Linked DNA regions of Coturnix japonica. The protein of the gene in region 1 interacts with the protein of each later gene in a pairwise test. Links are inferred from orthologs where the notes say so. Each region holds a gene or a part of one and is shown in the gene's direction. Other genes may lie near its edges. The genes, in order: NAB2 and PHOSPHO2.

What was found.
Region 2: the proteins of NAB2 (region 1) and PHOSPHO2 interact in binary tests that used the Homo sapiens proteins (3 or more experiments, as listed by UniProt). The two-hybrid records come from large-scale screens. The link is inferred for Coturnix japonica from reciprocal best matches to the Homo sapiens genes NAB2 and PHOSPHO2.

Annotation. Positions count from the first base shown.
Region 1 is NC_029544.1:1,653,852-1,658,298, reverse strand, and holds the start of NAB2 (NGFI-A-binding protein 2), read left to right. Parts: upstream 1-1,608; 5' UTR 1,609-2,417; intron 2,418-2,975; 5' UTR 2,976-2,983; coding exon 2,984-3,769; intron 3,770-3,854; coding exon 3,855-3,988; intron 3,989-4,379; coding exon 4,380-4,431; intron 4,432-4,447. Other genes in the region: NEMP1 (nuclear envelope integral membrane protein 1), read right to left, coding at 29-180, 816-882. UniProt on the Homo sapiens protein: Acts as a transcriptional repressor for zinc finger transcription factors EGR1 and EGR2. Isoform 2 lacks repression ability.
Region 2 is NC_029522.1:16,264,181-16,268,544, forward strand, and holds the start of PHOSPHO2 (pyridoxal phosphate phosphatase PHOSPHO2), read left to right. Parts: upstream 1-1,408; 5' UTR 1,409-1,851; intron 1,852-2,067; exon of another isoform or gene 2,068-2,268; coding exon of another isoform or gene 2,269-2,571; intron 2,572-3,261; coding exon of another isoform or gene 3,262-3,426; intron 3,427-3,877; coding exon of another isoform or gene 3,878-4,070; intron 4,071-4,364. Other genes in the region: coiled-coil domain-containing protein 173-like, read right to left, coding at 55-211, 987-1,084; CCDC173 (coiled-coil domain-containing protein 173), read right to left, coding at 2,269-2,571, 3,262-3,426, 3,878-4,070. UniProt on the Homo sapiens protein: Phosphatase that has high activity toward pyridoxal 5'-phosphate (PLP).

The DNA of each region.
Region 1 (4,447 bases):
CCTCCCCTCCTTTCCTTTCCCCCCTCACCTGCATCCTGGTCCAGATGTCCTTCCAGCTGGGGCTGCGTGTGTTGGTGTAGCAGAAATGATGGGAGGCGTCATGGCAGAACGCGGAGCCCTCCTGCAGCGGGGTCACCTCCTCCAGCCCCTTCCCCAGCACCGTCCCCATCCCACCGGCATCTTCACAGCACAGAAAGGAAGGAAGAATTAACACAATAGCGATGCGAGACCCCCCCCCCCCAACACCCCCTCCCCATTTGCGGGCTGCTCCCCCCCAAAGGGCCCCATTGGGTGCACATGGAGGCAGGACCACCCCTTAACCAGGACCCCAACACAGGACCCCCAACCAACGGCACCCTCAACACCCCCCCATTCTCGCACTCTCCATCCCCCCATCTCACACCGCCCTTAACCCAGACAGCCCTCAACCCGAGACCCCCAACCCCTCTCCCCCATCTCATCCATTTCCCCCCCGTTTCCCCCAGCCCCACACAGACCCCAACCCGGACCATACTCACTCCCCCCCCCCATCTTCCATCTCCATTCTCCATCTCCCATCCCCCTGGTTCCCCCCAGTCCCGCCCTCACCCGGGGACCCCCACCACCCCCCATCTCCACCGCATTCCCCCAGCCCACAACCAGAGCCCTTACACCGGACCAGGCCCCCAAACCCGGAGACCCCAACCCCCCGCCATCCCCACCCGAGACTCTAAAGCCGGATCCAGGCTATGGCCGCTCTATGACTCCATTATAGGCCCCCACTAGGCCCGCCCGCTCTCAGCCCATAAAGGCCCATTGTTCCGCCCGCCGCTCACCGGCCCCGCCCGGCGGAGGAGGCAGCGCGAGGAGCAGCAAGAAACACGACCAGGCCCCGCCCGCCATATTGGCACCGCTTTCATCCGCTTTCCCGCCATGGCGTTCCCGGCGACTTCCGCTTCCGCTTTCCCCACGGGACAACACCCAATGAGAGAGCGAGGCTTGCCTGACGTCATCAACCCGTGACGGGATTATCGTCTCCCTGCGTGTTGATTGACAGCGCGCTCGACCTATCAGCACAGCCTAGGCAGGATGCGGATTTAGCCCCACCCACACTCCACCAACGTGCTCCACTCGCTCCCGAAGCCATCCCACACCGTAGGCAACGCAGCCCGCCTTAGCAACGAGCTTGGACAGAGCAAGCCCACCTCAACCAATCAGCCGCTCAGCATCGTTTTCTCCCTCCCTCGCCACCAAGCCGGCTTGATTGACAAGCTCCTCCACCTTATTCACGGAGCGCACCGTCGTTGTTTTGCTTGGGGGGGGGGGTCTACAGCGGGCAGAGGCAGCGCGATGCTCATTGGACCCCACACTGGGGGGGGGGTGGCTCGTAGGGGCTGGATCCCGGGCTTGTTAACCCCCCCCCCCCAATACCCTTGGGCTCTTCGGCATTCCGTGGGCGGGTCGGGCTCACGGGCCGGCCCCCGGGTCAGTGGGCGGCGGAGCCGGAAGCGTGCGGGTCGTGGTGGAGGATGTGCGTCAAACGGGGGCGGCCGGACACGAGGGGGGGGGGGGGGTTGGACATGCATGGCCCTGGGGGGGGGGTCTTAGGGATTCGGACATAGATGGGGTCTATATGGGGTTCGGAATATATGGGCTCTATATGGGCTCTATATGGGCTGTTCCGAACGGGACCCCCCCCCACCTCCCCCCGACGGCTCCGGAACGCGGCGCTGTCGTGTCCCCCCCCCCCACGCGGGGCAGGGGCCGCGGGGGCGGCGGCGCCGGCTCGGTATAAATAGAGCCGGGCTCAGCATGGGGGGGGGGGGGCGATGGCAGAGAAATTCCTCCCCTCCCACGAACCGAACCGGACCCGCTCTGTCCCGGGGCTGCTCGCTCTGAAGCCCCCCCCCCACCCGGTGCCCGGACCCGGCTGCGATCCCATAACCGGGAGGTGGCACCGACACGGTGACAGCCGTGATCCCACTCACATACGGTGTCCCCCCCCCACCCCCCGTAGGCTCCGGTTGCTCGAGCCCCTGCCCGGGACCCCCAACCCCCGTGTCTTCACGTTGCTCTGCCCGACGGGACCCCCCGGTTCCGCCCTGCTCGCAGCCGCTCCCTCCGTCCCGGTTCGGTTCAGGGGGGGGGATGGGGCGGTCCTACGGTTCCCCCCCCCCCGTTTCATCCTCCCACGCCGCGCTCAGCGGGGGCGGCAGCCGCGGGTTCCGCCTCCGGAGCCTCCCACGCCGCAGCCGCAGCCGGGGCCGCTGCTATTTCTCGGTACCGCCCGTGTGGGCGGCGCGCAGAGCGGAGCGACTCGGCGGAGCGAACGAGCACGGCCCGGAATCGGGACCCCCGAACACCCCCCCGAGCCCCCCGGTACCGTCCGTCCATGCCCACGGGGTTCGCGTAGCGGCCGGACGGGGCTGCAGCCCGCGGTGAGAGAACGGGAGGGAAACGGGGGGGGGGTCGGAGGGTGAGTCGTGACATCGGTGTCCCCGTGGGGTTGGGGTAGAGCTGGGTGTGTTTTGTTGCACGTGGGGTGGGGGCACGAGTGGGTTCGTGATGTGGGAATGGTGGGGGGGGGTTTATGGTTCTGCCGTGGGGACCCACTCGTGTCTGTGTTGGGATCAGGGGGGATGCGGGTGTGGGGTCCAGCCTGATCAGTGAGCACGCGTGGGCCTGGGTGCAAGGTGGGGTCTGTAGGGGCCAAAGAGGGGGGGGCTGAGACTTTGCTGTCCCCGTGGGGTAGAGAAGGACTGGGGCAGCCCTGGGTGTGCTCTGCCCTAAGCGGTGCCCCATGGGGTGGGAGCACGGGTGGGGCCACGGGGTGTGGGGTCTCCAAGCTCCTCAATGGGGACCCACTCGTGTTTGTGTTGGGGTCGGTGCAGCTGTGGATGCTCAGTGGAGACCCCAGGCCAAAAGGTGGGTGGGGGTGGGGGGGGTCCGTCCGTCCGTCCTTCCCCCGTCACGCCGTCCGTCCGTCTGTCCCATAGGCTTCACCATGGCCGTGCCCCGCACGCTGGGGGAGCTGCAGCTGTACCGGGTTCTTCAACGTGCCAACCTGCTGGGTTACTACGAGACCTTCATCCAACAAGGAGGGGACGACGTGCAGCAGCTTTGCGAGGCTGGCGAGGAGGAGTTCTTAGAGATCATGGCGCTGGTGGGAATGGCCACCAAACCGCTGCACGTCCGCCGACTGCAGAAAGCGCTGCGGGAGTGGGCGTCCAACCCGGGGCTCTTCAGCCAGCCGGTACCGGCCGTGCCCGTCAGCAGCATCCCCCTCTTCAAGCTGAACGACGGCCGCAAATCGCTCAGTAACGGGCACAGCAGCCCCGGAGAAACTGCGGGGAAAGGGGGGGGCAACGCGGGGACGCCCCCAGCCCGCAGCCCAACGGAGCCGTCGGAGAAGTTGTCGCCGTCGGGGGTGTCGCCGTGGCCGGGGAGGAGCACCCCGGAATCGGAGGGTGGAGGGGATGAGGAGCCCGGAGCTCCTCCGTTCTCACCGGGGGGCGCCGAGCAGCCGTCGGGGGGCGATGTGTTGGAACCGGAGTTGGTGCGGACGGTGACGGAGAGCGTGGAGAGGCTGCTGCAGAGCTGCCCCCGGGGGGGGGACGCGGAGCTGCGGGCTCTGTTGAAGCTCAATAAGAAGTTGGCCAAAGCCGTGGGGCACATCTTCCAACTGGAAGACGGAGACCGGCACAAGGAGGAGGAGATCCGACGGCACAGCGCGATCTACGGGCGAGGGGATGCGCGGCGAAGGGAGGGCAAACAGCTGACACTGCACGAGGTGGGGGGCGGGGTGGGGGTCGGGCTGGGCTGGGGGCTCGCTGTGACCCCCCCCCTCGGTGCTATTGACGGCTCTGTCCCCGCAGCTCATCATTAACGAGGCTGCGGCTCAGTTCTGCCTGCGGGACAATTCGCTGCTGCTGCGGCGCGTCGAGCTGTTCTCGCTGTCGCGACAGGTCGCGAGGGAGAGCACCTACCTGTCCTCGCTCAAGGTGTCCAGGTGAGCAGGGGGGGCCCTCAGCATCCCCCCCCCCCCCCAGTGGGGGTTTCCCCTATGGGAGCTGCACCACCGGCAATTCCGGGCGGGGGTGGGGGCTGCGAGTTCCCCTTTCCATTGCTGAGGCAGTTTGGTGCCTCAATGTGTGTGTGTTGGGGGGGGGGGCACAGCACAGGGGATGCTGTTGGAGCCCCCAGTCCCGAGCTCCTTTCCCCCCCCCCACCTCCATAAGCTGGCGCTGCTCTGCTCCCTCCCCCTGCCCCCCCCGCCCCGGTTCCATCTGTACCAGACCCCGCTGTGCCCCACAGCACCGCCCCATAACGTGAGTGGGGGGGGGGAACCGTGCGGTGCTGCCCCCGCACTGACGCAGCCCTTTGTGCTCCCACCCGCACAGGGCGCAGCCCGAGGACGGCGGGGCCGGCGCGGCCAAGCGGCTCAAACAGGAGGTGGGTGCGGGGGGGG
Region 2 (4,364 bases), on another chromosome or scaffold:
ATGCATGTGCTTCATGGTGAAGCAAATAATGAACTTTCTCCCTCTGTTACTTACATGATACTGCCTCTGGTGTTCAAGTTTCTCCTCCCGTTCCTCTTCTTTTCCTCTCTGAATTTCCATTTGGTACAACTGGCTCTGCCTTTGTATTTTTTCACCTTCTCTTTTGTTTTCCTGCTTGGCCAGGTCTGCCAGATGCTTGTGCTCCTCTATTCTGAAACAGAAAAGGAAGAAAGCTAACGGCCTGGGGACTTCGTGACACAGGGAACAGATTGGAATACTTCACATCTACAGGTACTTGAACATTGAACAATCTGATACTTTGAAGTGAAAGCAGAACATCTGATCAAAATAGAATCATGTTTTTTAAAACAGTAGCAACAAAGCTGAGCACCAGCACAAAAAGTAAGAGTAGAAATTTACTGATTAAGTTAATCCTAGCAAAAGCAAACGTGACCAGCAAATGGACTTGAATGACAGCCTGCATTCGATTCACTTGTTCAACAGCTGGCCCGCTCCCTGCACAAGTTCAGCTTTAGAGCACAGCCTTCTGAGCAATGCTACAGCGCGGGCCGAGGCACAGGAGCGGTCATCAGCCCACCCCGTCACACTGATGTATGAATCACTGTGGGGAAACGACAAGAATGACAAGTTTTGCCCCAGGGAGACAAACCGCTTGTTCTCGGCACCAGAACACCACTCCCTTTGTTTAGCTGACTTGAGCAGACGTTGCCACCGCCAGCAAAAGGCGTTTCTGGAGCCGCAGAACTGACTTCAGCAGCGTTTCTGTGCTTCCCGGCCCACCGCAGCAGCGGGGCTGAACGTAGCGCGTTACAACGGGCGGCTCGAGCACACGCGGTCCCTCCGTCCAGCGCGGCATCACCGTGCCGATGGCGGGCAGCCCGAGACACGGCCCGTGGGCATTGCTGACATCCGACAGGCTTTTTAACACGAGCCCCGACTCGGGACGCCCCGAGGCCCCGACTCACTGCGCCAGCTGCTCTCTGGCCACCGCCCGGCGCTCCATGTAGCGGCCGTGCTCCCGCTCCACCTCCCGCTGCTCGGCGCCCGGCTGCTCGTGCTCCATCGGCAGCTTCCGCCGAGACAAAGAAAATCAGGTTCCCGGTTCTTCACCAGCGGTGACAGCCGCCCCGACGGACGCGCTCTTTTCTCTGTTTCCAGAGCGGGAGCGCCTCGGCCCCGCACGGCTCTGAGGCAGCGGGCAGCACTACCGGGCAGAGACACGACAACAGCAGTGAAGAGATGGGAACGCCCTGGCTCCGATGGCGGCACGGCCCCGCCCCGGCGCTGCTGGCGGGCCCTAGGGATGCATCAGGCGGGAGCCGCCCTGCCGGGCCTGAACGCGGGAGCGGAGCGACAGGGCTCGTCCTCATCGTTCCTAAGTTCTCCCCTTTCTCCTGCATGGAAGATCAAAGTGGAAATGTCTTGTTCAGAGCCCAGGATAATGCAGAAGTTGTTACATGAAATCCTAACTCTGCCCACTTCGCACAATAGAAATGCAAAGAAAATCTCAAGAAGTGTGATGTGTGTGTGGCTTTGTGCAACAGAGTAAGCTCCAAAGAGTTCTGTGCTCCCTGAGAAACAGTTTTAGATCTGAATTTGCCTACTGCAGATTGCACGTTATTCTTTTTTGCAAGAACCATCAAACTGTGTTGTTTCTTATTGCCACGGTATTTTTGTCATAACTGTTTATAACTACATTGGGACTTACTTGTCTTCTGGATAACCAAATTTGTCTCTGACCAGCTTACATCCTTACTTCTACAAGACTATTTGCAGCAAAACATTAATTTTACAGAGACAGTTGCAAAGCACTACAGAAACTGCAGTAACGTAAGTATTCTGACTTTTGTGTGCATTCTTGCCCTGCTGATTCTGAGAGGGCCTTTGGCTGGAATGGGTAATGTTGATGCTCAAAATTATATGTAATGCATTCCTATTATGATTTGTTATTATATGAAACCATAACTCTGTTCACATCACGTGAAATGTGATGGAAATATTTCAGCAAAGAAACAGCTTACAACTTTTATAAAATACAAGTTGGTGTTTTTTTTAGAACATACTTAATTCTACAGAATTTATTTTTTTCAAAGGGACTTTCAGATTCATAGCACAAATTTAATGTAGATCCATTTACAGTTTTGATGGAAGATTCAAGGTTCCAGAAGTTGGTTGTTTTTTGTTTTTAACCACATAAAAACTACTTTTGCCTTTCCTTGCTGGATAGTCTCAGTGTTCGTTCATAGGTTAAACTTCTTCAGCAGTAGTCTTGCTACAACAAGGTAACTGGGTCTCAGCAGCATCCTGTGCTTGAAAACCTGGATTTGTTCCTTCACTTTCTATGGAAAATGGGCTACCTCCAAATCCTATTATTTCTTTGGAAGCTTTCAGGAGAGGATAGAGATGATGTGTAGTCTTGGACTCTGATTCAATTACTTGCTTTGCATACTTCTGAAATTCTTGTTCTCTATGGAGCGCAATAAGCTCTGTCTCAATATCGTAGTCCAAGTCTGCTTGCTTCTCCTGCTGTATTTTTGCCTTCTTTTCTGCCTGAGGAAGAAAAGTCTTGTGTCATTAGTGATAGGACCAGAGGGAATGGTTTCAAGCTACAGCAGGGGAGATTCAGGCTGGACATTAGGAGGCATTACTTCTCAGAAAGGGTGGTCAGGCATTGGAATGGACTGCCCAGGGAGGTGGTGGAGTCACCGACCATGGGGGTATTCAAGGAAAGACTGGATGTTGTGTTGAGTGACATGGTTTAGTGGGAGCTATTAGGTTATTTCTTTAGTGGGAGATATTATAGGTGAACAGTTGGACTAGATGATCTTTTAGGTCTTTTCCAACCTTGGTGATTCTATGATTCTATGGAAAGTAAACAAATAGAGAATAACAAAGCTTAGTATTTTTTTTACAACAGAATTGTCTGTTAAAATTTAGAGAGGGTAAGTCCTTCCCCAGTTCATTCCTGGTTCACCTCACCACAGGAAAGTGTACACTGAGTAGCTGAATAAGCATCAGCATTTGCTGCTGTTCCTTGAGGATCTGCCCAGAAGACACCAGGGGACAGCAGCCATACATAATGACACAGAATGGGATGTGATGTGTCATTGCAAACCAGCCTTCACTCATGCAACACTCCTTGACAGGAAAGGGTTTGCATGGGTGACTCCCACACTGACTAACACTGTCAGGTTCATGCTCCTTTTTAAGGCTCTGGAAGGGTATGGCACTTCCATTTACCATTTGCTGGATCTGAAATTTCTGTACTTCTATGCTTGCATCACGTTGTCTTTGTTTCTTGGCTTTTTCTGTTTGTAGATAGATCTGGTTCTTTTCCACAAATGATTGAAGTTCTTTTTTACTTTCTGCTTTTTCCTCTCTCTCCTTCTCCAATTTCCTCTTCACCTGCATTTTATAAAATAGAGGGGGTTAACCAGATAGTTACCCTGCTAGTCTGAGGAGCCATGCCTCCAGGCTAGATCCAGATGCAATAACAATGCAGTCCCACACCAGTGCTCTGATGTGCTGGGTCATGGCAGCTACACTCTGTCCAGGCCCAGTTTCTGGCAGCACTGACAGACTCCTTGGCCTCAGGAAGCAGGGATGAGACTGAGAAGTATTTGCACAAATTACTAATGATTACAGAACTTTCAAACTCAAACAGATGAACCCAGGTACCTTGTGGCTTGCTTAAGGTGTTAGATGTATAACTGTAAATGGTAAATATGAGAGACAGCTCCTGATAACTTGTGGGTATGTCTCACTAACAGTTAGCACACTAAAAACCACAGTGTTCCTAGAAGGTACTCCTAAGTACACGCCAGAGACAGGGATGAGAACAGGTTAGCTTTCTTACCACAGTGGCTCTATATTCAGCAATAGATTCAATGGCAGCCTTTTTTTTTGCTTCTTTCTCTTTCTGTTCTTTTTCATACGCAGCTTCTTTTCTTGCAATGTCTCTAGCAAGACGCTCATCTTCCATCTTCAGTGCTACATTCATTTGGGCAGCTAATTGACTAACAATTTTATCCTGGCGTTCCTGTTTTATTCTGCAGAAGAACATGAGTATTCATAACACATGCACCTCGTCTACATGAAGCACTGCTTCTACCAAACCCAGCCTTCTGGCTGCCTCTCATCTCTTCCTGCCAAAATCTGGCCCACCCACTCCACTTCTTCATCTCCTTGTATTGCTCCTGTTTTTGTTTTTTTATTATCTGATTTAGCAAATAGGTGTTCCCTATATTTTTTGTTGCAGTGAAGTGCTGTATCATTCAGAGACTGCCTAGAATCTTGCTATTAGGAGGGACGTGTAGGAAGTATTGGCCAAAAATAGGTATGGT